Linked DNA regions of Macaca fascicularis. The protein of the gene in region 3 purifies or fractionates together with the protein of the main gene of each other region. This does not show direct contact. Links are inferred from orthologs where the notes say so. Each region holds a gene or a part of one and is shown on either strand. Other genes may lie near its edges.

The links.
Region 1: the proteins of VPS50 (region 3) and VPS52 purify together in Homo sapiens (affinity purification with mass spectrometry; 4 studies listed by BioGRID and IntAct, counting the BioPlex papers as one, with this or other methods). This does not show direct contact. The link is inferred for Macaca fascicularis from reciprocal best matches to the Homo sapiens genes VPS50 and VPS52.
Region 2: the proteins of VPS50 (region 3) and EIPR1 purify together in Homo sapiens (affinity purification with mass spectrometry; 4 studies listed by BioGRID and IntAct, counting the BioPlex papers as one, with this or other methods). This does not show direct contact. The link is inferred for Macaca fascicularis from reciprocal best matches to the Homo sapiens genes VPS50 and EIPR1.

The regions. Positions count from the first base shown.
Region 1 is NC_088378.1:138,435,080-138,445,330, reverse strand, and holds part of VPS52 (vacuolar protein sorting-associated protein 52 homolog), read right to left. Parts: intron 10,151-10,251; coding exon 10,000-10,150; intron 9,710-9,999; coding exon 9,609-9,709; intron 9,502-9,608; coding exon 9,369-9,501; intron 9,244-9,368; coding exon 9,186-9,243; intron 8,830-9,185; coding exon 8,696-8,829; intron 8,583-8,695; exon of another isoform or gene 8,429-8,582; intron 8,222-8,428; coding exon 8,066-8,221; intron 6,380-8,065; coding exon 6,261-6,379; intron 5,979-6,260; coding exon 5,855-5,978; intron 5,585-5,854; coding exon 5,489-5,584; intron 5,364-5,488; coding exon 5,256-5,363; intron 5,032-5,255; coding exon 4,966-5,031; intron 1-4,965. UniProt on the Homo sapiens protein: Acts as a component of the GARP complex that is involved in retrograde transport from early and late endosomes to the trans-Golgi network (TGN).
Region 2 is NC_088387.1:118,872,476-118,882,726, reverse strand, and holds part of EIPR1 (EARP and GARP complex-interacting protein 1), read right to left. Parts: 5' UTR 9,851-10,251; coding exon of another isoform or gene 9,239-9,850; 5' UTR 4,366-9,238; coding exon 3,990-4,365; intron 1-3,989. Other genes in the region: uncharacterized protein, read left to right, coding at 9,239-9,850. UniProt on the Homo sapiens protein: Acts as a component of endosomal retrieval machinery that is involved in protein transport from early endosomes to either recycling endosomes or the trans-Golgi network.
Region 3 is NC_088377.1:128,008,551-128,018,801, forward strand, and holds part of VPS50 (syndetin), read right to left. Parts: coding exon 10,224-10,251; intron 7,363-10,223; coding exon 7,244-7,362; intron 5,039-7,243; coding exon 4,932-5,038; intron 1-4,931.

The DNA.
Region 1 (10,251 bases), on a different chromosome or scaffold from region 3:
CCGCCTCAGCCTCCCAAAGTGCTGGGATTACAGGTGTGAGCCACCATGCCCAGCCACAACCCGATTTTTAAAAGGTCAAATGCTATGACAGCCATTCTACAGAAAAAAAAAAAAAATGGTATAGTTGTGGTGATGCTGACACAGAGCACCAGCTGCGGGGAGTCTGTCCCTTGCAGACCCCTGACCCGGCGAAGGATGAATGAAGTACACTGACACAGATACTCTGCTTTGCCAGTCCAGCTGAGTGTGTCCAGGCTGCTTACAAACTCCCTGTAGAGTACTGTAAACAGTTGCGATGGCGGCCCTGACCAGCTAGTGAGACTCTCATTTATTCAGTAAAGATTAATTGACAAAGACTTGAGTCAACACCACTACAGGGTAACTGACACTGTGGACTTCCTGAGTAGAAAGCAGTTAGGCACCTGCGGTACATGAAAGGTTAGTCTTAAGACCACATGAGTAAACAAGCTAGCTAGCTAACTTCCCCACATTCCTTTGTTATTACTCTAATTTATTTAACTAAAGGTAAAGATCAGGTCGCCTTCAACCATATCTATTACTGAAGTTATGCAAACTCTCAGGCCTTCGAAGAGGGTTTGTGGCTATCATAACTAGTATTTTTCCCACCAGCCTGACTGAACCCCTACATATAGTTACTAAACATTTGAAATGATACTCAATGTTATTAGTAATCAGGAAATTACAAATAAAGACCCACTGAAATACAGGTTGAGTATCCCTAATCCAATAATCTAAAATCCAAAATGCTCTAAAATTTGAAAGTTTTTGAGTATCAACATGACGCTCAAAGGTAATGCTCTTTGGAGCATCTCAGATTTCAGATTTTCAGACTACAGATGCTAACCAGTAAAAATAATAAAAGTAATCCAAAATCCAAAAAAACTCAAAATCTGAAACATTTCTGATCCCAAGCATCTTTAGCAGCATCTCTGGTCTCTTAAAAAAAAAAAAAGAAAAAGATGGCAAAGATCTGATAATACCACATGTTGGAGAAAATGTGGCTCAGAAGGAATTCTTACATATTGCTGGTAAGAAGGAACTACTTAGGAAAACAATTTATCATTGTCTTATAAAGACTAATACTGCCTATCTTATAAACAGCAAAAATACTGTCCTAGGTTTATACCCAAGAGAAACTTCTGATGAAGATAATCAGTATCTATGTGTGCTAAAAGACATGATTATTCATAAAACAATGCTCACAGAAGCAAGAAACTGGAAACAATCCATTTATAGAATATGTTTAATCACACAAGTCATATATGGCAGTGAAAAAGAATGAGCTATAGCCATATGCAATAACATGACAATATTAGAAAAATTATGCATGAAAAAAATCCTGTGATTCTGGGGATTTTTGTTTTGCTGTTTGAGACAGGGTCTTGCTCTGTTGCCAAGGGTAGACTACAATGGCATGATCACAGCTTGCTGTAACCTCGAACTCCTGGATTTCAGGTGGTCCTCTCGCCTTTGTCTCCTATATAGCTAGAATTACAGGTGCACACCACCATGCCTGTTTTTTTTTGTTTTTTTTTGTTTTTTTTGCCTTGCTGTTTTCTTGCCTTGTCTCATCAGTGTTTATATCATTAAAAAATAAAACAACCCAGTGCAGTGGCTGTTTTGTTTTTTAATGATATAAACACCCACAAACACACCACACAATCCAAGAAGTAGCAGCTTGGCAAAAGCCACCATCAAACTATGAAATCCTCCTGAAACTATCCCTGTGCCTCTCATGCACAGGTACTCGTTGATCTAAACGTTGCATTTATTGTACTCCTGCTTTTTTCCCCCTTTTGTGTGTGTGTTCTTGCTTTTAAAAGTAGAGCTATATATATGCCAAAACAAAAATTCATTCTGTTTTTCAGTGTCATTAAAAACAGAATCCGGGCCGGGTGCAGGGGCTCACGCCTGTAATCCCAGCACTTTGGGAGGCTAAGGCGGGTGAATCACCTGAGGTGAGGAGTTCACGACCAGCCTGGCCAACATGGTGAAACCCCATCTCTACTAAAAATACAAAAATTAGCTGGGCATGGTGGCACGCACCTGTAGTCCCAGCTACTAAGAGGCTGAGGCAGGAGAATCACTTAACCTGGGAGGCAGAGGTTGCAGTGAGCCGAGATCGTATCGCTGCACTCCAGTGTGGGAGACAGAGTGAGACTCCGTCTCTAAACAAACAAACAAACAAAAAAACCAAAAGAATCATTAGATTTTTCACTTGAGGGCAGTAATTCAAGAACAGTCCAGGCAACATGGCAAGACACTGTCTTTACAAAATTAAAAAATTAGCCCGCACACACCTACAGTGAATTCATTTTTGATAAAAGTGCCAAGAACATACACTGGGGAAAAGATAGTCTCTTGGTCAGGCACGGTGGCTCATGCCTGTAATCTCAGCACTTGGGAGGCCGAGGCGGGAGGATCACTTGAAGTCAGGAGTTCAAGACAAGCCTGGCCAACATGGTGAAACCCCACCTCTACTAAAAATACAAAAACTAGCCCGGCGTGGTGGCAGGCACCTGTAATCCCAACTATTCAGGAGGCTGAGGCAGGAGAATCACTTGAACCAAGGAGGCGGAGGTTGCAGTAAGCCAATACTGCACCACTGCACTCCAGCCTAGGTGACAGAGCAAGACTCCGTCTGAGGAAAAAAAAAGAAAGAGATAGTCTCTTCAATAAATGGTGCTGGGAAAACTGGCTATCCATTACACAGAAGAATGAAACTATACCCCTATCTCTCGCCACATATGAAAACCAATTCAAATGGATTAAAAACTTAAATCTAAGACCAAACTATGAAACTACTACAAGAAAACACTGGGGAAAATCTCCAAGACATTGGTCTGGGCAAAAATTTCTTGAGCCATACCCCACAAGCACAGGCAACCAAAGCAAAAATGGCCAAATGGGATCACATCAAATTAAAAAGCTTCTGCACAGCTGGGCACGGTGGCTCACACTGTAATCCCAGCACTTCGGGAGATGGAGGTGGGCGGATCACCTGAGGTCAGGAGTTTGAGACCAGCCTGACCAACATGGTGAAACCCCATCCCTACTAAAAATACAAAATTAGCCAGGCATGGTGGCACATACCTGTAATCCCAGCTACTTGGGACGCTGAGGCAGGAAAATTGCTTGAACCTAGGAGGCGGAGGTTGCGGTGAGCCAAGATCGCACCATCGCACTCCAGCCTGGGCAACAAGAGCTAAACTCCGTGTCAAAAAAAAAAAAAAAAGCTTCTGCACACACAGCGAAAGAAATAACAAAGTGAAGAGACAACGAATATTTGCAAACTACCCATCTGCCAAGGGATTCATAACCAGCATATATAAGGGGCTCAAACAACACTACATGACAAAGTCTAATAATCCTATTAAAAAATGGGCAAAAGATTTGAATAGACATTTTTCAAAAGAATACAAATGGCAAACAGGCATATATGAAAAGGGGCTCACCATCACTATCATCAAAGAAATGCAAATTAAAACTACAGTGAGATCTCATCTCACTCTACTCAGAATGGCTTTTATCCGAAAGACAGGCAATAACAATGCTGGCAAGGATGTGGAGAAAAGGGAACCCTTATACACTGTTGGTGGGAATGTAAATTAGTACAAACACTTTGGAGAACAGTTTGAAGGTTGCTCAGAAAACTAAAAGTAGAGCTACCATAGGATCCAGCAATCCCACTGCTGGATATATACCCAAAAGAAAGGACATCAATACATTGAAGAGGTATCTGCACTCCCATGTTTGTTGCAGTATTGTTCACAATAGCTAAGATTTGGAAGCAACCTAAGTGTCCATCAGCAGATGAATGGGTAAAGAAAACGTGGGACATGTACACAATGGAGCACTATTCAGCCATAAAAAATAATGAGACTCAGTCATTTGCAACAACATGCATAGAATTGGAGATCATTATATTAAGTGAAGTAAGCCAGGCACAGAAAGACAAATGTCATGTGTTCTCACTTATTTGTGGGATCTAAAAATCAAAACAATTGAACTCATGTACTCATGTACGAAGAGAGTAGGATGGCTACCAGAGGCTGGGAAGGCTAGTGGAAGGCTGGGGATGATTAATGGGTACAAACAAAAATAGGAAGAATTAATAAGACCTACTATTTGACAGCACAACAGGGTGACTATAGTCAATTATAACTTAATTGTACATTTTAAAATAACTTAGAGTGTAACTGGATTGTTTATAACACAAAGGATAAGTGCTTGAGGGGATGGATAAAGAAAAAAATAAAATTCATTCTAAAAATAGAAAATGGCCGGGCGCGGTGGCTCACGCCTGTAATCCCAGCACTTTGGGAGGCCGAGGCGGGCGGATCACAAGGTCAGGAGATCGAGACCACGGTGAAACCCCGTCTCTACTAAAAATACAAAAAATTAGCCGGGCGCGGTGGCGGGCGCCTGTAGTCCCAGCTACTCAGGAGGCTGAGGCAGGAGAATGGCGTGAACCCAGGAGGCGGAGCTTGCAGTGAGCCGAGATTGCGCCACTGCACTCCAGCCTGGGCGACAGAGCGAGACTCCGTCTCAAAAAAAAAACAAAAAAAAAAAAAAAATTGAAAATTAGCTAGGCGTGGTGGCTCATGCCTGTGGTCCCAGCTACCCAGGGGCTAAGGTGGGAGGATCGCTTAAGCCCAGGCTGTCGAGGCTGCAGTAAGCCATGTTCATGCCACTGCACTGCAGCCTGGGTGACACAGCGAGACTCTGCCTCAAAAAAGGAAAAAAAAAAAAAAAAGCAAAACCAAAGACAAAATAAAATAAAGTAGACCAATAATGACAGTATGTTGTGGATCAAGAGTTACAGTAATTCCATGTACCTGAGGTCCATTATGCCACTCCCTACACACACACACACACACACAAACACACAGGAGCTGAAAACAGCACACAAAGCTGTCCCTTCCCTTTTCCCCACACCCCTACCTGTGTCCGAGCATTGAGCAGCTGCTGGAAGCTCTCAACCTCTTTGCTGTCATCTGCAGCCCGCTCCTAAGGGAAGACAAAGGGAAATGTCAAGTTTGGGGAAAGCAGTCCTTCACTTCAGGATGTCCCCTTCATTCCACACTTATTGTACTAAGCTGGACACTGTGCCAGACTCCAAGAGTAAAACGCTGAACAAGACAGGCATCGTCTCTGCCCTCACAGAGCTAACAAAGCAGTGGGGGAAACCCAATTTTCTGGGTAGGAAGACAAGGAGAAGGAGCACCTATTACCATCAGCACACCCAGCATCATGTCATAGTTGTTGATCAGAAACACAAGCTGCTCCTTCCTTGAGGAGAACTCGGCTGCCACTCGAAGGACAAAATTCTCCACCTCCACCTGAAAAGGCAGAGAAGAGGTGACACCAGAAAGCAAGGCCATCAGGCCCCCCTCTGGCTCCTCCTCAGCCTCCACCCACTGGCAGCAGCCCTGCTGCTGGTAAGTCTCTCCTGTCTGACCCTTACCTGCAGCTGTCCCAGCAACTGCATGGTCCGTTCATTGGGAATTGTCTGGTTGATGCTGACAAGAGCGGAGGAGAACTCTGCGTAGCGGCGTGTGATCTAGGACAGAGTGGGAAGGAAAATCACACCCACCTCCTGGCCCAACCACCACCACCTCCCAACTCCCTTGGTCAACCCGCCACCATGTGATGTGACTCTACCTCCAGTCCCTCCTACCCACAGTGCACCACTCACCATGAGTTTTATCACCCTCCCAGAATGCCTGCTCAGAGCGTGGCCCATGACACAACTGTGACCGTGGCCAACCCCCACAATGATGCTTAGAGCCCTGCCTTTCAAGAACCCTTTGTTACCCTTGCCCTCCCTCACATAGTGGGGCCGAGTATCCAACCCCCCTAGGCGCTGGGGGTCAGTGCTTCGGACGCTCTGGACATTCATCTCCAGGATCAGCTCAAACCGTGGCCATAGCAAGGCAAGCACCTGTTCCCAGTACCTGTGGGCTTAATCAGAATCTGAGGTCAGCCGGCAAGGAATGTTGGAGAGGGATGGGGGGGAGTGGGGCACCATTCAGTTTAATGGTCAACAGTTAGTTGTGGGGATGGGGGGGCAGTGGTTGGAGAAAGGTGAGTCAAAAAGCAGCAGTACTGCCTCTGGAGCAAATCAATGGGAATAAAGGTTAATGATACCAGGTCAGTAGAAGTCTAAGGTCAGGGCAGAGTCATGCAAGACCAAGAGTTTGTGGCCTGTTGGGCATCAAGGACCAGAATTCAGTGACCTGTCCAGAGCAGGAACATCCCTCTTTGCTGCAATGTTACGGAACCGGAGAACAATGTGGATACAAAGAAAAACAGCAATGGCATCGTAGCAGTCAGCGAGATAGGACTCCAGGTGTTTCTATGTGATTGGGGAACAAGCAGAGGATTAAAAGAGAATGTCAGTTTGTTTTCCTCAGTGACTATGAACAAACGCATGTGTTTCTTTGGGGATGATGCACTGGATAGGACAGAAGGGAGAGATGTAAAATGCAACTGCCCCCTGCTTTCCTGTCCACTGCCACCCGGGTGGTCCTACTGCCTTACCCACCAGGATCTATGTTTTTGGCTTTTTTTGTTGTTGTTTTTTTGAGATGGAGTTTCGCTCTTGTCGCCCTTGTCGCCTAAGCTGGAATGCAGTGGCGCAATCGCAGCTCACTGCAACCTCCGCCTGCCTCCCAGGTTCAAGCGATTCTCCTGCCTTAGACTCCTGAGTAGCTGGAATTACAGGCGCCTGCCACCACGCCTGACTAATTTTTGTATTTTTAGTAAAGATGGGGTTTCACCATGTTGGCCAAGCTGGTCTCGAACTCCTGACCTCAGGTGATCCGCCCACCTCAGCCTCCTAAAGTGCTGGGATTACAGGTGTGAGCCACTGCGCCCGGCGTTTTTGACTTTAGAGACAGGTTCTTGCTTTGTCACCTAGGCTAGATTGCAATGGTACAATCACAGTTCACTGCAGCCTCAAACATCTGGGCTCAAGTGATGTTCCCACCTCAGCCTGCCAAGTAGCTGGGACCATGGGTGTGTACCACCATGCCTGGCTTATTTTTAAATTTTTTGTCAAGACAAGGTCTTGCCATGTTGCCCAGGCTGGTCTTGAACTCCTGGCCTCAAGCAATCTTCCTGCCTTGGTCTCCCAAAGTACCGGGATTACAGGTGTAAACCACTGCACCTGGCTGCAGCAGGATCTACGATCACAAGCCTATCACAGCAGAGTTCCAGGCTGAGCTTGGGTCAGGGGTTTGGAGGACCCTCAGTTTTCACGTGCTATTGCCTGATTCTGATTGTGGGGCAGCAGCAGGGGGAGTCTCAGGGACCCTACACTCTGAGGATTTCATGGGAAGTAACACTGTGACAAGTCTAAGTAACAAGGCTTAGACTTTTTTTTTTTTGAGATGGAGTCTTGCTCTGTCACCCAGGCTGGAGTGCAGTGGCACAGTCTTGGCTCACTGCAACCTCCTCCTCCTAGGTTCAAGCAATTCTCCTGCCTCGGCCTCCTGATTAGCTAGGATTACAGGCTGCGCACGCCCGACTAATTTTGTATTTTTAGTGGAGATGGGGTTTCACCATGTTGGTCAGGCTGGTCTCGAACTCACAGATCCTCCCGCCTCAGCCTCCCAAAATGCTGGGATTACAGGTGTGAGCCACTGTGCCCAGCTTTTCTTTTTTTTGTTTTAAGAGATAGGTCTCACTCTGGAGTGCATGGCTCACTGCAGCCTTGACCTCCTGGGCTCAAGCAATCCTTCCACCTCAGCATCTCAAGTAGCTACGACCACAGGCATACATCAACACACAGCTGGCTAATTTTTTATTTTTCATAGACAGGCCAGGCTGGTCTCAAACTCCTGAGCTCAGGCAATCCTACTGCCTCAGACTCCCAAAATGCTGGGATTATGGGCGTGCGCTACCATGCCCAGCCAAGGCTTAGACATTTTAGAATGAGGATCCTGATTGATTTCAGTTCTACCAGAGTCATGACCCCACTATGCTGCTGATGAAGACTGGGGACAAAGGTGTTGAATAGTACAGGAAATAGGAATCTTACCAGGGTCATGCTGAGTGTACGGCCCATGACAGCATGGAACAGGTCATGTGCAGCCGGGCCAGACACAACAAAAAATTCACAGATGAAAAGGTATTCGCGGCAGGAATTGTCTAGGAGGGCGTAGTGCTGGCTGCGGAAGAGGGCCTCAAATGGATACTGGGAGAGGAGAAGTAAAGAAGAAACACAGAAGGGATGGACCCCAACACTGACTTCCCATGGATATGGCTGCAAAATCAGTAAACCTGGGTAATAAGAGCTGGGCAGACCCTTGGCATCCATCTAGGTCCAGGCTGTCAAAGAGCAAGCTGAATGGGCACTGAAAAGGTGGGGGAACATAGGGGTACAAAAAGGGCCTACACCCACCTGCTGTTGCTACTCCTGCATCCACCTCAACACCTGCCTCTGACCGTCATTCCCCTCATCCAGTCTCTCCCCTCTGCATGCCCTTAAGTCAATGGTTCCCAGCTCTTTTCACATCACAGCAGGCTGGAGTGATTGGAGAAGGCCACTCCCAAGTCTAAGGGGATCGAGACAGGGCCTGCAGGTTGGGAAGCTCTGCCCTGAGGTCTGGCCTTCCCTCCCTCCATGCTCAGAGTCTCTTTCATGACTGAAGCTTGTTCCTCCTCATACCCTCTGCTCTCCACGCTGGGCTGTGTGAGGCACCAGGATGGGGGCCTCAAGTTCAGTGGGGGAGATGACAGAGCCACGGGTTCCTAGGGTGAAAATGGTGTTCCTGCTGCGGAGTGATGGCTTTGAGAAGAATCGTAAGATGGGTCAGAGTCAGGGAAAACAATGAGACCATAACTGGGCCCAAAGACTCACTATCTGCAGGGACCCCAGACAGCGAGACATGGCCTAGTCAGCCCTCTTTCCCAGTACTAGGGCCCCACGTGATGACATCTGTGAACGGACTTCAGGGTGTCTCCCCACCTCCTGCAATCATATGCAAAACTATGTGTCAAAATGACGCATCTTTCTTAGGAGGGAGGCTATAGCTTTCATCACATTCTAAAAGGTTTCAGTCCCATAGGAAAAGGTAAGGAACAGTGCCTTGGTGGCTGCAGCCGAAAGTCCTCCCACTCTCAAGACCTGGCATGAGGGTTCCCCAGGACTAGGATATCTTTCTTCGCTGTATCTTCCACGCCCATTAGATCATCTTTCTCAGCAACTTCCTCATACTAAGAAAACAGAAAAGAGAACTGATAACCGTCTCTTCCGACAACACAATAAAATATTCCTTGCCCAGGGATGTCCCCTCCTCCCAGTCCACGTGCCCAGGAATGCCTCTCCCTCCTGACCTTACCTGCACCTTCATGAGCCGCCCCAGGTAAGAGCGGTAGTAAGACAGGTAGATCTTGCTCAGCGTCTCCACGTATTCATCCCTGATTTCCTTTGCTGTTGCTCGTTCATTGCCCAGCAGAAACTGATAGAAGAACCTAGGAGGTCAGGAACATGTCAGTCTACCTGTCTCCCAGGAAACCAGATGCCATTAGGCTGCTCAAAAGCTCAAAGGCCATCCCATGCACTTCCTTGGGGTTGTGACCTGTACTTCAGCAGGGCCGTCTGGGGGATCTGATAGTTGGTCATTGGTTTCCTGAAGGAATAAATCTTCTGGAGGATAAACTCTCGGATCTTCATCACTGCCTAGATGTGGGGAACCAAGCACAGAGCATGAAGCTGCAACCTTTTTGCTGTATGAGAGGAATTGGGGGAAGCAACAAATGGTAAACATAGATTGAAAAGTGGTGCATATCTCTTTGGTATTTCTCAAGATTTTCAAGGAAACCCAGAGAGGCAAGAATGGGGCTGCCCAGAAAAGGCAGGGTGAAGTTCTTGGAGACAGGCTACAGTGAGCTCTGCCAAGAAAATCCATAGTGAAGATCTTGGGAGGGCTGCTTCTAGTAGCCTCCAGGGTATCCATCCCTACTTCCCACCTTGACCCGGAGCCGATCGAGCACGCCTCTGACATCCGCGCAGGCTGCTGTGCCTCTAGCTTCCTGCTCTCTGACTGCAGCTGCCTTGGCATCCAGCTCCTGTAGCTGCTCCAAGAACCTGGGCTCTGTCACTGGAGCCTCCAGAATTGCCCTGGGTAGCAGGAAGGGGTGGGATAAGTTACAAGGGAAACCCAGACATCCCTAAACCAGACCCAGACCACACTCCTTACCTCCAGCTCCTATCATCTCTAC
Region 2 (10,251 bases), on a different chromosome or scaffold from region 3:
GTTACACACCTAGGAAGGCTGGGCCAGCCCAGATGCTGGGGTAGCACGTAAAGCTGCCAGCTTAGGCCAAGAGGGCACTGCAGCAAGATCAGGCTGGGGAGAGGCAGCCCCGCCTCTGGGGACGCCTAGTAGACCTGCTGGTGTGGAAGCTGTCGGTGGTAGAAAGCATGTTGTCGGTGGTAGAAAGCATGTTGTCGGTGGTAGAAAGCATGTTGTCGGTGGTAGAAAGCATGTTGTCAGTGGTAGAAAGCATGTTGTCAGTGGTAGAAAGCATGCAGTGTGGACTTTGTGGAGAGCCTGGGTGGAGTCACCATGTGGTCCTGGGGCTCTGGAGCAAGCCATGCCATCTGCAGCACAGAACCACATCTTTGATAAACAGCTGTGACCATGCTTCCAGGTCCTGATAACGGAGCTCCTGACCATGGGGCACCAAGTGCCAGGTGTCACTCATGAGAAGAGCTCAGTCATAGCCACCAGGTCACAGGGTTGGGCAGGGCCAGCAGTGATTTACTACAAAGTAGAGACGGCGCACACAGGACAGAGTCAGGCAGGACCAGAGGGCACCAGAAAGCTGCATGGTGGGTGCCCAAACCATACATGACCTCCCCGCCCCGGACCCTCCCTGCACTCATGCCTGTGGCCATGTGGGAGTCCTGTACTTTTAGCTGAAGAAGGAGAAGAGACCTGAGCTGCTTTATAGATCAATGAGTTCAGGAGAGGGCATAAGCCAGACATGGGCAGGCGCTGTCAGATGGCTACACTCAGGAGAGGGCTGGAAGAGCATGGAGGGGAAGGTGATTGTGAAGAAAGGCAGGGCTCCCAGCACTGCTCTGGCCATCCCCACAGCGGGCAAAAAGTGGCCCATGCTCAAGGGCATGACCAACTGCCTGGTGACTGGTTAGAAGCCTGGAAGGAAAAAGACTGAGAACCTGGAGACTCATGGTGTTGCATGCGGCAAGGTGATGCCTAGGGCCCCTTCCATCCTGAGAACGGGAAGGGGTTCACCCGATACTTATTCTAAGTATGACTTTGCCTTTCTTGGCTGCAAAAACAAAGCCAGCAACCTGATGCCCTGACCAGAGACCACCCCGCAATGGCCCCACCACCACAAACACACATAATCAGAGAAGCCTCAGAACCGCACTATGCAACAAGCAGGAGTGGACCCAGGATCTCCTATCCACATCACACCACACCACCCGGGTGTGCCGGGTTCATGCAGCAAGAGCATGCAGCACAGTGCGGCCAGCACCTCCCCCAGGAAGCAGCATGGCGCGGCCAGCACCTTCCCCAGGAAGCAGCACCGTGCGGCCAGCACCTTCCCCAGGAAGCAGCACAGTGCTGGACCCAGCTCCTCTGTCAGTTTCCTTGCCCCGATAATAGCACACAGAGGCATGGAACCCAGTATTTCCAGACGGCTCTGTGTCCCAACAAATGATGCTGCAGCAACATGAACTTTCTTATTATTTGACAAATTTAAAAATGCATATATTTATAGTATACAACATAATATTCTGATATGTGTATACATTGTGGAATGGCTAAGTTAAGCCAATTCATATTTGCATACTTATTTTTTGTTGTGAAGACACTTGAAATCTACTCTCTTAACAATTTTCAAGTATATGATACAATGCTAATAACTTCAGTTACCATGATACATTGCTACTAACTGTAGTCACCAAGACATCCAATAGATCTCTAGAACTCATTTCTCCACCTAACTGAAACTTTGTATCCTTTCACCAACATCTCCCTTTTCCCCATCTGCCCTCCGGCCAGCCTCTGGTCTCACCTTCTACTCTGCTTCTGTGACTTCAGTATTTTTAGATTCTGCATATCAGTGAGATTGCGTGGTGTCTGACTGTGCTGGGCTTATTTCACTGAAGACCTCTAGGTTCATCCATGTTGCTGCAAATGGCAGGATTTCCTTCCTTCTTAGGGCTGAGCAGTGCTCTATTTGTATCATGTTTCTTTATCCGTTCATCCGGCTCATTAGCCTTGATGCATACCCAAGCTGCTTCCATATTGTAATGAATGTCCTAATCATCTTCAGCTTGCCATGCCCCAGAAGAACTGGATAAATAAAGGCTTTCCTGTGTCTGGCAAATAAGGAAGCTCCCAGCACTGCTAGGGAAGTGTCAAAAGCAGGGGCCACAGGAGGCTTCCTTGGGGCAGGACAGATCAAAAAAGGGAATTGCAGTGGGTGGAAGCATCAACGGTGTTAGCCACGTGCAAGGTCATGTGACACACGAAGACAACCTCACCCCGTTCCTTTGCAAAACACTACGGAACCAACGCACTTTTCTTCCCTTTTTTTTTTTTTTTGAGATGGAGTCTCACTCTGTCGCCCAGGCTGGAGCGCAGTGCCGCCATCTCGGCTCACTGCAACCTCCGCCTCCTGGGTTCAAGCGACTCTCCTGCCTCAGCCTCCTGAGTAGCTGGGACTACAGGCGCCGCCACCTCGCCCAGCTAATTTTTGTATTTTTAGTAGAGACGGGGTTTCTCCATGTTGGTCAGGATGGTCTCGAACTCCCGACCTCGTGATCCACCCACCTCGGCCTCCCAAAGTGCTGGGATTACAGGCTTGAGCCACCGTACCTGGCCTCAATGCATTTTTCTAAAAATTGGTAAATAAAAGGAAAATAAAATTAATGAAATTTCTAGTGTATGAAAAATGTACTTAGATTTTCCAAAAGATTATAAAATTGCCCTTCTAGAATTTAGTCTGAAAATCTGGTGGGTACAAGATGAGTTCAAAATGCCTTAGTAAAGAATGTGAACACCAGAAATCACCCTGAGGAAGATCAGAGAACATTAGAGGTGTGTGCAGACAGGAGGTGTCTCTGGCATTGCCACCCAAAGAAATGAACAGAGCTGCGCACGTTGCTGAATAAGGAGTGTGCTTGGGGTTCAGGAAATACGGTAGGCATTCGTACCTCCAGAAACTCTCCATATCCTCAGAGGCAGATGAAATGGAAGGTAAACAGCACTAAGGAAGAAGCACCCATGGAGACACACTCATCGGCTCTGAAACTCTGAGGATTTCTGTAGCTGTTGGATCCCAAAAGAGTGTTCAACACACATCCAGCAGCCATCACAGAAACGAAGGAGCTTTTAAGAAGCAAAACCTGATCTTTAGAAGGAAAACGCTGTAATAAGCAGGGAGGCATTTCATCTTTTATCTATGTTTTTCACACACTCCTGAACTGGGGTCCTGAAAACGTAACTTCCTGTGCCGAATTAACATCACAATGACTAGGAGCCAGCAGAGGGCAGGGCTTAAGGCTGCCACATAAAACCAGGCCTATGGCACAAACCACAGCAGCACTGCCCACAGACACCACGTCTGTGCCGACAGAAGTCAGAGAACCACAGGATACCTGGGCTGGAAGGGAACTCCGATATCATGCTGAATGAACACAGCCCCCTCATTTCACAAATGAGGAAACTGAGGCCCAGTGAAGCCACTGATTTTCCAAGTTCAAACGGCTCATTAGCACTGATGTCCAGAATGAATGGAGCCTCCTGACTCCCATAACAGCCCCCTGCTTTGAAAGAGAAAATTCCAAGTTGTGTCTTTAAAGCCAATTTGATGCCACTACCTACTTTTTACATGTTAACACAAAAGCTAAAGACCCTTAAAGAGATAAAGAGATAATCAGGGCAAAATGAAGGGATGGAGGCATATTCGTGACCGCCTGTGCTGCCTGCTGGAAGGGATTACCAGGCAAAAGGCTTACAGGAATTCAAAGGAGATTAGAGCCTTTGTGAGCATGAATAGTAGCTCCAGTCAGGCCGGCTAAAGGGTGAACAATGCCCTGCCTGGGGGACTTAATCTGATCCCCAGCTGGAGGAGGAGGAGGCTTCCAGGCTGCACAAGCAGTACATTAAGATGGGGCTATTTTTAGAGCCTGCAGCCATCTCTGAGTCTGGTAGGAGCTGAGCAGGAGGGATGAGGACAAACGACAGCCTCACTGGGCGCTCACCTGATGCAGGTATGCCTCGGGGTGCACGACAGGATGCCTGAAAATCTGGGCCTAAAAATACCTTCCTCGATGGCCTTTTAAACGCCTTAGGGATGGCACCATGTACAGATTGCAGCTCCTGAGCGTGCAGGGGCAGAGACTGACTGCAGAAGGCGGCAAGGCTGATGAGCAAGATAAGGATGACATCAGGTCTCTTATCCTCCAGGCATTCGTGAGGGGCACCCGCGCCTCTGACAAGCTCTGCTGGCCAGGAGGCAGCAGGAGGTGGTGCCAGCATCACAACAGGCTGCTGCCCCAACAGGAAGAGGGTGTTGAGAAGTGGGGGTGTCAGGGGCTCGCCGGCCGTGAGCTCCAGAGATACAGTGGGCGCAGGCATGAGATGCCAATCAGAGCAGTCTAGACCAGATGGAGCTGCGGCAGAGGCCAAGGGAGAAAAAGACAGGCAGGCTGCTCAGCCCCAACTCCACATGCCAGAAAGGCTCAGGGCAGAGACAGAAAGCTGGCCTGATGACCACAGTGCAGAGGCGCGGCCTCTCTCAGCTCTTCACCTAAGCCAGCTCACAGGCCTATGGCCCCTCGGTTTAGGGGAACCCAGGTCCCCTTGGGGAAGGACCCATGGCTATTTTATAGGAGAGCTGACCATGGGGAGAGGGAACTACCCCAGACCCTGAATCAATGCCAGTCCTGCTGGACCCAACACATCACAGGGTCTACGGCCCCAGGCAGAGACCTGGAGGTTGTGGCCCAAGTCCACCTCAGAGAACCCAGTGGGGTCAGTGTATCCAACCTGCGGTTATTTCTCCAATCCCTGCATGTGCGTTGGAATAGACGGACCTGGCATTGGCAGGACGACCACACAGCACCCACTCCATGGCTACAGAGCCAGTGATGACAGGAAGGACCAGAGGGACGCCCCAGGACATTCCCTCACCCATGAAATTAGTCCACCGAAAGCAGCACTGCAGTGTTGGTGGGATGGAGAGTTAGGACCACCATGGAGGTTGGGAAAGATGCCGGGTGCTGCCGTTGACCACACCCCACCAAACCCAGCTGTTTGGCCTGCGTAGCGGCAGAGGGTTCTCGGAGAATGACAGTGCATGATCATAAACTTAATCAGGTGGGCAACCCCAACACGGCCATTTCAGATACGCTGCTGTCACAGAGCACGTCTACACAAGAATGCAGGCCCTGGCTTCTGATGCAAAGATTGATCTAGCAATTTGGTCTACACCACCAATTTGAAGGGCCACCAGAAGCCATTCGCTGTCACCTGGCAAGGCCAGCAGTACCTGTTCACGTCCTGCTGCAGACCTACATCAAGACTCAGGCCTGGGGCCAACATGCTGTACCCATCAGGCACATCTGGCCTGCACCCCGTGAGCTAAGAGTGGTTCTGCATTTTTAAAGACATCAAAGGACACAGAGGAGAATATAAGACAGAGACCGAATGGCCTACAAAGCCTAAAATATTTACTCTCTGGCCCTTTAAGGAAGAAATTGGCTGGCTCCATCCACCTGTGCCAGTGACCCACTTGCCGCCTCAGGTGCTGTAGGCGCCCTGCAGACCATGCCTTGTGTAGCACAGACTGTTCGGCTGCTCTCCTTGGAGATGCGCCCTGTTCTCAGCCAAAGGCCCTGGAGGGAGACTGCAGGAGGCAGGGCCTTCCACGCCACAGTCCTGGAGTGGTTGTGAGTGTGTGCAGGGAAGCGTGGCCCCAACACTGGGCCCTTGGTCCTTCTGTGACCCCGTCACCTCAGTCCAGTGATAGCCTTTCCATGAGCCTCTCAATCCAGAGACTGGACCCCCAAGACTTCCTGCCCACACCAGCTCCGGGAGGCCTGGAGCCCATGCCAGTGTCCTGGTTCCCTCTGAAGGCACCCGTGGGGCCTATCTGTACCCTGCCTACAGCCCAGAGGGTTCCCACACCCTCGGCACAGCATGCTGTCAGCTGTGACCACCTACTCCCCACCTGCAATCCAGAGGACAGCCTCCTGCCAATCCAGCGACTGTGGACCAGCTCCAGCCTGGCCAGAGCAGCCACCTCTGCTGCACGGTGGGCTGAGGTTTGCGCCCCGCCAAGATCTTCCTTCCTGAGTTGCTCTTGCTCCGTCCGGGGTGACCTGAGGGAGTTTCTTAATACCTGACGCCTGTGACTCTTCTACCACACTTAGCGCTTCTTTATACTAAACTTCCCTGTTTAACCTGCTGTTTCCACTTCCTGCCCAGACCAATACAGCCTGACCTCATCCACAAAGACCTCAATCACAGGACAGAAAGCACAGTGAGGACAGCATGCGCTTGGGGTCTGTTGACCAGGAAGCATCGGGCACCTCAGATGCCTGAACAACACAGGTGCACACAGGTGGGAAGTAAGCCGGCTCCCCTTGGCTTAGGGAGGTCTCAAGGTCTGGTGATGTGGAGCAGATGGGGGCATCTTCACCACCACGAGGCCGACTTTGGTGGGGCTTTTTGAATCTGGGAGGTAACATATGACATAAAGCCTACCTCTGTCATATGGCGGGCTGTGAAGACCTGCATGGCCACTGGCACCCCGTGTCGGGGTGAACAAGCATGCTGTGTGGGGCCTCTGGGGGGCCCGTGGGAGAATCACAGGCCAGCCAGTGAGGCGTGGGAGGCAAGCAGTGTCCCTTCTGCATGTAACTTCTCTCCTGTCCGGACACAGCTCCTGGCTTCCCTACCCACTCCATCATGTGGGCATGCTGTACACTGAGCACTGCACACCACAAAACGCGTGTGGTCTGACATCAAGCCCTAAGCGCAGGCAGAAGCAGCAGTCACACTCAATCATCACACTCAGTCATCGACTCAGTCATCACACTCAATCATCGCACTCAGTCATCACACTCAGTCATCGCACTCAGTCATCGCACTCAGTCATCGCACTCAATCATCACACTCAATCATCGCACTCAATCATCGCACTCAGTCATCGCACTCAGTCATCGCACTCAGTCATCACACTCAATCATCGCACTCAATCATCACACTCAATCATCGCACTCAATCATCGCACTCAATCATCGCACTCAATCATCGCACTCAATCATCGCACTCAATCATCACACTCAATCATCGCACTCAATCATCGCACTCAATCATCACACTCAATCATCGCACTCAATCATCGCACTCAATCATCACACTCAGTCATCGCACTCAATCATCACACTCAGTCATCGCACTCAGTCATCACACTCAATCATCACACTCAATCATCACACTCAGTCATCGCACTCAGTCACTGCGTGGAAATCTCACTTCGTCCAAACAAAATTGTGTTCAAGCAGGTCCTGAGGCACAGGCAGGTGGCATAACTACGGGTAGCAGCTCCCTCTGCCTTGGCACCACTGCATTGCCTCTGTTCTCCTGGGAAGCTCCCCAGCACCGCGAATGAAGAGGAGCACCAGCCCTCAGCTCGGGAGCACCGACCCTTGGCTTGCACACAGCGCAGCCTCATGAGCTGCAGCAATGGGAAGTGCTCCCTGAAGAAGTGTCTCTGACGACAACTGGTAAAGAGAAATCATACCAGGAGGCAAAATTCTGAGCAGGACACTTGGCTGTCCACATTGTCCAGATGGGCAGAGATATGAGTCTGTATTGATTTAGAGGCTGTAGCCTCCATTTTGCCCTTATAACAAGGACTTGGAAAGCACAGAGCGGGGACGAAACAAGAGGGGATGTCGGGGCTCAGGCTGAGCAGGGTGCAAGCCCATCTGTGCCCACATGGATGCTCGCCGCAGGGTCTCAGCTCCAAAGAGGCTCTCAGAAGACCTGCTCTGCGGATGCCAATGCTCCTGCAGAGGGCCTGGTGTGTGTCGGCGTGTGCCAGTGTGTGCTCTGCGGGGCACCTCCTCTAAGCTCCAGGTTTATTACCTTTTCCTTTTGCGTCTCCATGCGGGGGTGGCAGCTGCTTCCCATGGTAACTAAGATCTGTGTTTCCTCCCTGGATGAAATCCCCGCTTTCTGGAACACAGGCACACTTATTACAGGTTTGGTTCTAGACCACCACGATAACATTAATACGGCAAAAAGAGAGTCACATGAATTTTTTGGTTTCCCAGTGCATGTAAAAGTTACACTGACACTATAATGCAGTCGAGTAAGTGTCCAAAAACATTATGGTCTAAAAAGCTATTGGGAATACCTTGATTTTAAAATACTTTATTACTAGAGAACACTAACAATCACCTGACCCTTCAGGGAATTGTCATCTTTTTGCTGGTGGAGGGTTTTGCCTCAGTGTTGATGGCAGCTGACTGATCAGGTGGCAGCTACTGAAGGATGGAGTGGCAATGGCAGTTTCTCAGACCAAAATGAAGTTTTCTGCATCTATTGACTCTTCCTTTCATGAAAGATTTCTCCAGCACGTGATGCTATTGGACAGCACTTTATGCACAGTAGAACTTCTTTCAAAATTGGAGTCAGTCCTTTCAAACCCTAACACTGCTTTATCAACCTGGCTTACGTAATATTCTAAATCCTATGTTATCATTTCAACAGTGTTCACGGCGTCTCCACCAGGAGTAGATTCCATCTCAAGAAACCACTTGCTTTGCTCATCCTTGAGAAGCACCTCCTCATTCATTCGAGTTTGACGGTGAGATTGTAGCAATTCAGTCCCAACTTCAGGCTCCACTTCTAATTCTAGTTCTCTTGCTATTTCTACCACAACTGCCGTGACTTTCTCCATGGAAGTCTTGAACCCCTCAAAGTCGTCCACAAGAGCCAGAGTCAACTTCCCCCATTAACTTCCTATTAATGTCAGTATTTTGACCACCTCCTGGGAATCACAAATGTTCTTACTGGCATCTAGAATGGTGAATCCTTTCTAGGTTTTCAATTTACTATGCCAAGACCCATCAGAGGAATCACTGGCAGTGGCAACAACAGCCTTAAGACATGTATTTCTTAAATAATAAGACTTGAAAGTTGAAATTATTCCTTGATCCATGGGCTACAAAATGAATCCTGTGCTAGCAGGCATGAAAACAACATTCGGCTCTTGGTACCACCCCTTCAGAGCTCTTGGGTGACGAGGTGCATTGCCAATGGACAGTAATTTCCAAAAGAATCTGTCCCTGAGCAGTAGGTGTCAAGAGGGGGCTGAAAATATTCACTAAACCATGCTATGAACAGATGTGCTGTCATCCAGGCTTTGTTGTTCCATTTATAGAGAATAGGCAGAGTAGATGTAGCATCATTCTTGAGAGGCCTAGGTTTTTTCAGAATGGTAAATGAGCATTGGCTTCAACTTAAAAGTCAACAACTCCATTTAGCCCCTAATGAGAGAGTCAGCCTGTCCATTAAAGCTTTGAAGCCAAGCTTTGACTTCTCTTTTGCTATGAAAGTCCTGGATGGCTTATACTCTTCGAATATAAGGCATTTCACTGACACTGAATATCTGTTGTTTAGTGTTCTGACGTGTTCCCCCTTCATCACTGATCTTAGGCAGATCTTCGGGAGAACTTGCTGCTCCACTTTGCACTCCTATGCTGTGGAGATGCCTTCTTTCCTCCAACCTCAGGAACCAACCTCTGCTAGCTCCCAACTTTTCTTCTGCAGCTTTCTCACTCCTCTTAGCCTTCACGGAATAAAGAGAGTTGGGGTCTTGCTCTGGATTAGGCTTTGGCTTAAAAGAATGTTGTGCATGTTTGGATCGTCTGTCCAGACCACTGAAACTTTCTCCATTATCAGCAGTAAGGCTGTTTGGCTTTCTTATCATTTGTGTGTTCAGTGGAGCAGCACTTTTAATTTCCTTCAAGAACTTTCCCTTTGCATTCACAACTTGGCCAATTGGTGTGCAAGGCCCAGATTTTGGTCTACCTCAGCTTTTGGCTGAGGCTTGGCTTCCTCACTAAGCTTAATCACTTCTAGCTTTTGATTTAAAGTGAGAGATGTTCCTTTCATTGAACACTTAGAGGCCACTATAGGGTTATTAATTGGCCTGACTTCAGTATCATCGTTCTCAGGGTATAGAGAGGCCTGAGGAAAAGGAGAGACATGGGAAACTGCCGGTTGATGGAGCACTCAGAACACACACAGACTCACTTCGCCATCTTACATGGGCAAGGCTCGTGGAGCCCCCAAACAATTACAATAGGAGCATCAAAGACCACTGACCACAGAGCATCACAACAGATACAACAATGATGAAAAAAGGTGAAATATTGTGAGATTACCAAAATGTGCCACAGGGTGGGACGTGCTGTTGAAAGTTGGCACGTGTAATTGAAAAAATGG
Region 3 (10,251 bases):
CAAGCTGCATAGGACAGTCTATGAGGCCTTCTGATAATCGGTTCTTGCCCATCTTTCTCGTCATGTCTCCCCTGCTTCTGCCTCCAGCCCCCATCATGTTTCTCACATTCCAGCAAACTAGACTACTGGAGTCTCTTAATACATCATGTCTTACACATGTTCTTTCTGTCCAAAATGCCTTTACCAACTTCTTCATCTATGAGAACTTATTCATCTTTCAAACTCAATTAGGGTGTCAGTCCCCACAGTGAATCAGTCCTTTCACTTCCCACCCAAAAAGGAAAATTAATCATCATTCTTTCTCTCGCCTCTTTTCTGTTTATTTATGCTTATAACAACACACTGTAAATTTTTTTATTTGTATGCTATTTCCCTCGTTGGGTTCCTTAAGTAGAAAGACTATGGTTTCTTCATGACTGTATCTCCAACAGTTAGCTGGAAACAAAGTAGTGACTCAAAAAAACAAAAAATCTGTTGGACTAAAACTGATGGATGCAATATACATGGCAAAAAAGGAACTGATTTCCTTAATGTTGAAATTAAAACCTATAATTTCCTTATTACATAAAAATGAGCAGTGGATATAAGTAGTTCGCAAGTAAATAGAAATGTCTTTTAAGCATATGAAAAGATGCTTCAATTCACTCATAATTAAACACATTTTTGAATGAGATGGCATTTTTAACCTATCAGACTAGCAAGGACCCAAAGCTGGAGGATATACAGTGTTGCTGAGACTAAGAAAAGAGCTACCCTCAAATACTGTTGATGAATGAGTAAACTAACAGAACTCTGTTAGTAAGCTCGTTAGTAACCTCATTGGTAAATTGAGAATGTCCATCAAAACTGGAAATGTATATACTCTTTCATCCAGCTAGAGGAAGCATTTATAGGAATTTGTTCTATAGCTCTATTGGTATATGCACAAAGATATTTCTTCAAGGATACTTGCTGTGGCAGTTTGTAGTATGAAATGACGTAACCTATATGTTGAAAAGTAGAAGATGTATAAATTGTGGCACTTATAATATTACATCTATACAATAGGAAAAAAGAATGAAATCCACACATACTAAGATAAGTAATACATTAAGTTATTTTAAGTGTAACCTTAAGATATTTTAAGTAAAAAAGCCAGATAAAAACAGTATAGTGTAATTCAATTTTCGAAACAAACAAAACAACAACAAAAAAATAGGAGAGAGGAGATACACATATTAAATATATTTGTACTAACACTAATATTTCCAGAAGAAAACAGGAGAAACTCAGTCGTTTTGTCTGGGGAAGGAGATTTGCAGCTCAGGGGCTCTGCTTATACCTTGCGGTATTTTAATTTTTAACCACTTTCATGCATTACCTTTCAATTTAAAATGCTCAATGATAAAGAGTATGCCAGCAAACTAAAGTGCTGGGAAACTTCAACAGTCTGTCATCTAGTATTTTACCTTCCCCCAAGGAAAAGAATGTATATTATACCTAAAAGAATATATATTACACCTAAATATCCCTTAGATGCACATATCCTATTTTCATTTTAAATACTGATGCACGTGCTAGGGTATATTTTTTTCTAGCTACTAAAGTGGTAATTTTGTTGTTGTCGGCAGTTGTTATAAGCATGGACTTCGGTAATCTAGCTCCTGCTCCTCAGACCTATCATACCTGCTCAAGTGAGAGCTGTCTCCAGGAGAGAGAACCATGAATACCAAGGCTATTTCACTGATGAGACACATTTCCTAAAATTTCTCTTTCTCTGTCTGCAAGAAACCATCAGGCTGACAGAATTTTCTCTTTATATAATACAAGCAAGTCTTCTGATCAGTTCTCTCCACTAGTGCAAAGCCTCCCTGAGCCTTTCTAATAAATTTAGTTACCACCTGGGGTAAGGGAGCCCCATTAACACTCTTTTGTTTACTCTCTGCTAATTATCTGCCAAGTAAATACTACTTGAAAGGGACATTTTAAATATGCCTTTAATGTTCTAATATGTGTTTCCGAAATACTCAATAATTAGCTCCTTCATCTTCTCAAGTACCAAAAATTAATCTGTCTTATTTATATAACCATACTTCTCCCTTTGTAGGAAGAGGCATGACTTTTGCCAGTTTATAATCTTCAGGCACTTCTATGCAATAACAACAGTGGATGGAATAGTGCATTTACTAGTCAGAGACCTCTGAGACAGTGGCTTCCTTAAAGTTCTGTTTTGTATATATCTAAAAACTGAAGACAAAAACATCCCAGGGAGAGAGAAAATGATAAGAATAAAAGTCTACTGGGGATCCCAACTGAGGTGATAATGGCAGCACCTAATCCCAGTCCTAAATGAAAAGATATAAAAGTTAAATTGTCATACTTGGCATTGTTTCCTAATTGCAAGTCCAGTAAAAGATATGGTAGTGTAGAAAGCTGAAATTGCAATAGTCAAATTCTCTTCACAGAGTAAGGTTTTATTCAGGACTGTGCCATACTTTAAAGGCTCTTGAATGTGGCTTTTCTCAGTTCCTATAAACCCACTGTTCAAAAGCAAGGCCCACTATGTTGGTCAGCAATCTTCATGTAAGAATTTGTTGTTACTATCGTCTGAATTCAGCACCAGGAGCATATTTCTACCATTATTATAAAGGCCTGTATCTTTTTCACAGATAATAAGGATAGTGGAATACATTGTTTTGTGAATTCCCTTATGCCTACCAAGAAGTTAAGCACTGTATTTGATGTCTGCATTAAATATGATATGATAAAGCATGATGTGCCCATTCCTCAACTTTGCCTTAGCCTTGTATTTTATTTTATTTGATTATTATGAAAATATGCCTTCAGAGTAAACAGCAACATGACTACCTCCAGCCCCTTTTGAACTAGGTAAGGTAAAAAATATAAACAGATATGTTTAATTATATTATTTTTCCCAATTTCCCATAAGAGCATGATACAGTCCTGCCCACTTTCCTTGACTTGCAGTGCTTCCTGTGGCAGAAGCATACTTCTCCCTCCCTTTGCCAAGCCTGACTTGCTTTGGCCATGACATGTCAGAGGAAGTCAAGGTTGACACATGGAAGCAGAATCTTCAGGAGTCATAACAGAGTTTGCTCTTGCTCTTCTTCCCATGTTCCAGATTGGTTGGTACTATTCTTTCAACCTACATCTTAGAATGAAGAGACACACGGAGCAGAGCTACATATAATCAGGAGACAATGCGTATCACGAGTGAAAAATAAAACTTTGTGGTTGAAAGTCATTAATGCACCAAGAGCTGCTTGTTACTTCAACATAATCTAGCAAAAGCTGACTACATCTCAAGTGATGTGTTCAGACACTGAAAAGTGCTGAGTCTAGAAGGCTAAGGAGGATGACGATTATTCTGAAATGTCTGAATTTCTATCAGTGAGGACAAGATAAAGGAACTGAGCCCATGAAGCCTGAAAAATGGATTGTGGGGTGGTTGGTATGAGAAAAGGAAGGACAGGACAACTACCACCACATATCTGAAAAGTGATCACATGGAAGAATAGAAGAAATAGAAGATAAAAGAAATAGAACAGAATAAATAGAAACAGAAAAAAAATTTTTTTAAAGCATGAACTTATTCTTCTTGCTTCTAAGGGCAGAACTCTTAGACCAAAAGGACAGATCAAAAGCTAGAAACATAGAGACAGGTTTTGGTTTATCTTGGGGAAGAGACTTCTACTAATGAGATCAGTCTAATGATAGAATGAGTAGTCTTGCAAACCACTAAGTTTCCAATGACTGGGAATCACGAAACAGAAGCTAGACAGCCACCACATATTAGAGACATTACAGAAAGACAACCGACTTCATGGGAACTTACACCAATGACCTCTCAGCACTCTTCCAATTCTGATTCTACAAATTCTAGAGAGTTATTTCTGACACTATGTTCAGTCAGTTCTCTTGGAAGAAGAAAAGCTTAGTTCCCTGGCAATAACTAGTCACAGAATAGCTTTTTAGAATCTATTCTTTTTTCTGAGCATCATGAAAATGTATACCTTTCTTTTCTTCTCAGTTCAGTAACATTTTTTGCTCTTTCTAGAGAAACCGTGACTCCTAAAAAGCATTCTATACATTTTATCCTATTCATTAACTACATTTAATAATTATCTTAAAGAACACGGACTATTTCAACAGAGCTAAGATTAATCAAACTAGGCAATAGGTAAATACCATCTCCATAGATAGAGATTTTTATAGAAAACCACTAAAATTCCTGATTGGAATAATGAAGGTTAATATGAGAAGACATCTCTATAACTTATTTGTCAAATAGATAGACTTATTAGTGAGATAGAAAGGCTAAAAACATACAAGATGTTGAAATACTGACATTAAAAAAAAATCCACATCATCCTCAAACCCGAATATTTAAAATGTCATTTCTTCATATTGTTTCCCTTCTACAAAATCATCAATAAATGTCTTACCTGTAATAAGAACAACATTTCCTATAATCTGAACATTTAGCTTGTAAATCCCTTAAGTCTGAAAATGTCAGAAAGTCACTATTCACTCTGCCTGACAGAATACTGTAAAGATCTATGAAACAACAAAGTAGAAAAATATTGTATAAATGTGAAACTGGTACTATCTTATCTTACATGTACCTCTAACCTACCTAGAGAATTTTTCATCACATTTCAATTAACTGAAATATTTTAGAAAAATTGGAAGATACAAAGACTTAATAAACAGGTAACTTAAAAAGAGAAACTGGCATTACTATTAGTATTATAGTATTTGGAACATTTAAAATGAGAAGCATAGACATATGATAACCTTAAATCCCTTATTGCAGAGAGCACTGCAGTATACCAGACAACGAAAACCACAAGTAAAAGTCATTCAGTACCAAACTAATTTAACTGTTATAATGTTTCTTTTTCTTTGTTTTTAAATGTGTAGCTACTTACCAACAAGTCTTATTACATTCAACGTTGTATTTGTTAAGATAGGGGCATTCACTTTATTTAGACTGTAATCTGATTTCTTCCTGCTTTTTAGAGTTTCCCGAGAAACACTTTATATGAAAAAACAAAACAGAGTTGCTAGAGTTGTCAAGTAATAAACCAATAAGTTACTCAGATTAGTCCATAGCCTTTATTAACTAATTATTTAATGAAAAGCGTACTATGCATTAGGTAAAGATATAGAGATTAACTTCTTATCCTTATAAAATTTACAATCCATAAGTAAGGGAAATAAGTAAGCAAAAAAATAAAGTACCATAATGCATTTCTTCGATTATAAAACATTATCAACCACTAAAAAAACTAATCACTTTAAAAAACAAATTTTCCAAGATAATTACATATCTAGGTGCAGATGTACTATGTTTCTTGATTTCAGAAACTTATAAACATGAAAAAATACCCTCCTAAGAATCTGAATTAAGTAGAGAATATTGGTGACAGTATTTGGGGTTAAGGGGCAGCATTAGGTTAGGTTCAAAAGAAAAGTAAAAGTTATATGGTCAGCACAGAAAAAAGGGCCAGCATAAAACAGGGTTAGAGATAAGAGAGAACAGAGTGTGCTCAGAAAAGTACAAGGAGTTCACCACATTTGCAAGTAGAAGAAATAAACAGAGGGGAAAGTAATAAGAAAGGAGGCAAGTAAAGGCCGGATATCCCTGAAAGCAATCAAACCTGAGGGATATGAACCTTATCTTGAATACAGTGGTGAGTCACTAAAAGCTAACCAGAAAAACAGCAAGATTAAATTTGTAACTATGAAAAAAAAAAAACCCTAAATTTAAATCTAAGAGTTGTTTGGAATGGGGCAAGCCTAGAGACAAGAATCCAAGGTAAAGGAGTTGATTTAATAATCTGGCACAGAGATAATTTTAGGATAAACTAGAATGGTAGTGGTGAAATGCCAGAAAAAGTGGTCAACTCAAGAGACACAAGTTAGAATTGATAATAACTCAATGTATTGGCTTCAGGCACTAATTCGTTCAATTCAAACTTCTTAGGGGTAAGTTTAGGGGGCTGCAGTAACCCTACCAAAAATGGAGGTATATACACATGGCAGACACTATCTTACTTGTATATTTCAATTCAAATAGACCTTTCCTTTTGGCCAAAATATGCCCAAAACATCTAATAAAGAATTCCAACAAAATAGTTCTATTTAGTTCACAGTAGATCATACTGACACTTAATATCATACATATGCAAAAACCAATAGAACAAATTTTTTCAATTAAAATAGCTACAATTTCGTGAATTGCTCACTTTTGAAAACAGTATTATTTCAGTCGGGATTTCAAGTTAAACAGTATTAAATAGGTAGCTTGGCGTTAAACGGTAAGAGTATACTTATCGTTACTACCATTAAGAAAAAAAAGTACATTTATAGTCACTAAACGTATGATAGTCATGAAATCAAGTCATTTCAACATTCCAGAATCAGGCCCATTTAACTGGCAAAAGGTAAGAAAAAATTCTGTTATAATTATCATAGTTTTGAAGAGGTCAGTTTATCATAAAACAAAACTCAATCACTAATAGGACACCTTGGTAGAAAGTTCAAATAGTGAACAAAAATGACACAGGGGAAATAAGTGGTGATTTTCTGTGTTTACAAGATTGAAGTAAGAACTCCACATACAAAACAAATGATCATTTTCTCCTTGAGGTTTTTTATTTATCTATGTAAATCGCATAAATGGCCACCAAAGGCAGGATTGATTTTATAAATCTAAAGGCTTTTTCCTCTGCAAAAACTAATCTCTTTGATTATGCCCAATATTTTCAACAATAATTTTAACAGATTTTAAAAAATGACTAACTTCGTGATGCCATAAAAAAGGAATTAGAATCTTGCTACAAAAAGCAATGTCAAACACACTACATAACTCAAAGGAAAGCTACATTAAAACTAGCCATTTAAGAACTTTTAAATGGCTAAATCAATTTCTTTTTTGACACATTAACAATCCAGTTCATAGTTAAATGAACTGATTTGTGAGATGCTGGCAAAGGTTTTGCTAGGCAGAACTTTTCATATAACTATTTTATTTTTCATGAAATCCAGTTATGAAATGTTAGGAGGAAAAACACATTTTTAGCCTTCCAGGAATCATTTAAAACATACTAACTTCTGTCAGGTGACATAATAAGTACCAAAAAACATAATTTTTATTTCTTCTTAACCTTAAAGGAAATCCTATATGTTAAGAGCACAAGATAAAATGCTAAATACCACACAATTTAAGAACAATCACCTTTTCACAGGAACATCTCCTGTCTGCTCATCCACATAGTCTCGTTTGAGTTCCTCAGGAACATCACTGTCACTGTCATACTCTTGATAGGCACTCTTTTCTTGTTCATCAGATTCATACTGAAGAAAACACAGGATATTAAAAAATGAGTATAAAGGGCCTCGTTTCGTGGGGTGTCTCAACACAGCGAAAGTACTCAATTTTACAAGAAACCACTAAATACAAGAAAATCCGTAGTTTAGTTTTAATGTTGTCACCAAGAATCTGATTATTCTTCCATTGTCTTCATCATTCTACCTTAATCAGCACAAAAGAAAAATATTACACCTATAAAAGCTTGAAATGTGCAACAAAATAAAATCACCATAAACGAAAACCTAACAAACATTCCACTAGGCCTAAAAAGAGAAGAAGAGTACACATAAGCACGTGTTTTTTTTTTTTTTTTTTTTAACTTAAAGTCTCTCAGAAGTTTCACCATACATATTTCCAATTTGCTAATAAAATTCATTAAAAAGAGGTTCAATATCCAATTCTGGCACTCTGCAAGTATTACTTCAGCTTAATAAACATGCACAACACACATGCTGATGTTTTAATTCACTATAAGACTTAATTTCAAGGGCAGCTTAGAAAATTAAGCTTAGAACACAGTGACCTGCTGAGAATGAGGACAAAAATGGTGGATTTACTCCTGAGAGGAAGGATGTCTTCCTAACATTTTCATCATCTTTATGGCACTATGGCCCAATGCCAGCACGGGAAAGGACAGTGGAATTCATGCACAGTAAAGGAAGCAGTGACAGCACTTTCATCATCATCATCTATTAATGTTATAGATTAGTATGATTAAATAATGGCTAATATTAGTATGATTAAATAATAGCTAACATTGAGTTTTTAACCAAGTATTATGCTAAATTCTTTCATGAATTATCTCATTTAATTGTACAGACACTTCTCTGAGGAAGTTTTATCTCCACATGACAGTTGAGAAAACCAGTATGATAACAACATGGAAATAATTTAGTCCCCTAATTCAACAACTATTTTTTGAGAGTCTGTTAATAAAAAGGTCGTATTTAGACGTGGACCCTGATTCTCAAGGACATAAGTTGCACCTGGGAAGATGAGATCACACATTAATAACTGCAAACAAGCCTTACAGGTACTCCTTTATACTTATACACAATGTGATCCTGATGCTATGCAGAAAGGTATTCTACACAAACTAGGATGTCCTGATTACAACAACAGAGTTTTGTGACCACATCGTATCACAGATACCCATTATTTGAGGATTCAATGTTTGCAAATTTGCCTGCTCACTGAAATTTATTTGTAACCCTAAAGTCAACACTTATGATATTTCTGGAGTCATTCATAAATGTGCAGAACAGTGAAAAGTTTGAGTCATCCAACATGCATGTTCCCAGCTGAATACAAAGCATGCTCTGTCTTCTTGCTTAGGCTCTCATACTATAAACAAGTTTCCTTTTCATGACCTATTTAGTGCCAAGTTCTTTGTATTTTTGTGCTTTTTGTTGGTGATTTAACTGTTTAGAATGCCACCACAAGTGTAGCCCTGAAGTGCTGTGTAGTGTTTCTAAGCACAAGAAGGCTGTGATGTGCCTTAGAAATAAAATATGTGTGTCTGATAAGCTTCATTTAGGCAAGAGTTATGGTGTTGTTGACTATGAATTCAGATTATGTACTGATGGGCTGATAAATATGTTGTAACCAGAGGCTTATAGGAACCTAATCCTATATTTGCTCTGGGAGTAATGGTTGAGTATTTGTTAAATCAATATTCACAGCAACTTTATAGAACACACTGCTGCAAATAATGGGAATCAAAGGTTATGTAAGTTTTAGTTAGTGAATCACTTTTATAGAGAGATATGTTATTCCAAAATAATTGGAATGACTTTAAATTCCTCTCAGTTTAGTCAATTTCACAGAGGCAAAATGTCACAAAGAATCACTGAATCATAATTTTAAATATGGCTTACTATGAAACAATTTAAACTTCATGAATTTCATCTTCACCAAATGAAAAATAAATTCTAAAACTAACATAAAATATAAAGACAAATCCTTCAACATATTTTTGTCACATCTGAATGGTTTTCACTTTAGCTTCATCAATCAAAAATAAAAATTATATTGAGTCATTATGGAAATTATGAAGATCAGAAGAAACCATCAAACAACTTATTAAGTCAAGTAAAATACTGTGAAAATACCATGCAAGTAGCTGTGAAGCATTCCTCTCACTGTAAATATGGAGAAACTGAGGGTCACAAAGTTAAAATAATTTGCCAAGGGCTACACAGCTGATAAATAATAAAGATGATATTCATTATCTGCCTTCAAATCCTTTACATTAATTCACACTACATCTAGTTAATATTGTTTTTGAGGTCCTAAAAAGTGTTGTTAAAACATTGTACTTCTAAATCTCAAAAAAATATCCCTGCCAAGCAATTAAGCAAGACATTACCACTTTCTCTTAGACAAAGGGACATGGAACAAAAGCAATCTGTGACCCATAAAGGGTGTCGAGAAAAAGGGTAGATGATATCCATTCCCTCACTCATCTCACAATATATCACATCATATTCACATAATATATCACATAAATATTCAGTGAAGAAATTATACTACTATTTGATTAGCAACCTGATAAGAACATCATGTAATAAGAACATAAAGCAAACATAAAGGGAAAATTTACTATTCAAGAGGACAAGGTCAACAAAGCATATTGTAAAGTCATTATCTATAAATGTAATATCATAGATACATTAAGTATATAGGTGGGCGGGCAGGGTGGTAGTAAATGGATACATAAATGGGTAGTAAATGGATATCTTTTTTAATAATAATTTATAACCAATGTAGTAAATTGCCTTGCTCATTGAGTAGAACAGTTTTAAACTAAAAAAAATCTCACTTATGTTTCACATACACCACATACCCCATTAGAAGCTAAGACATCTTCTGTT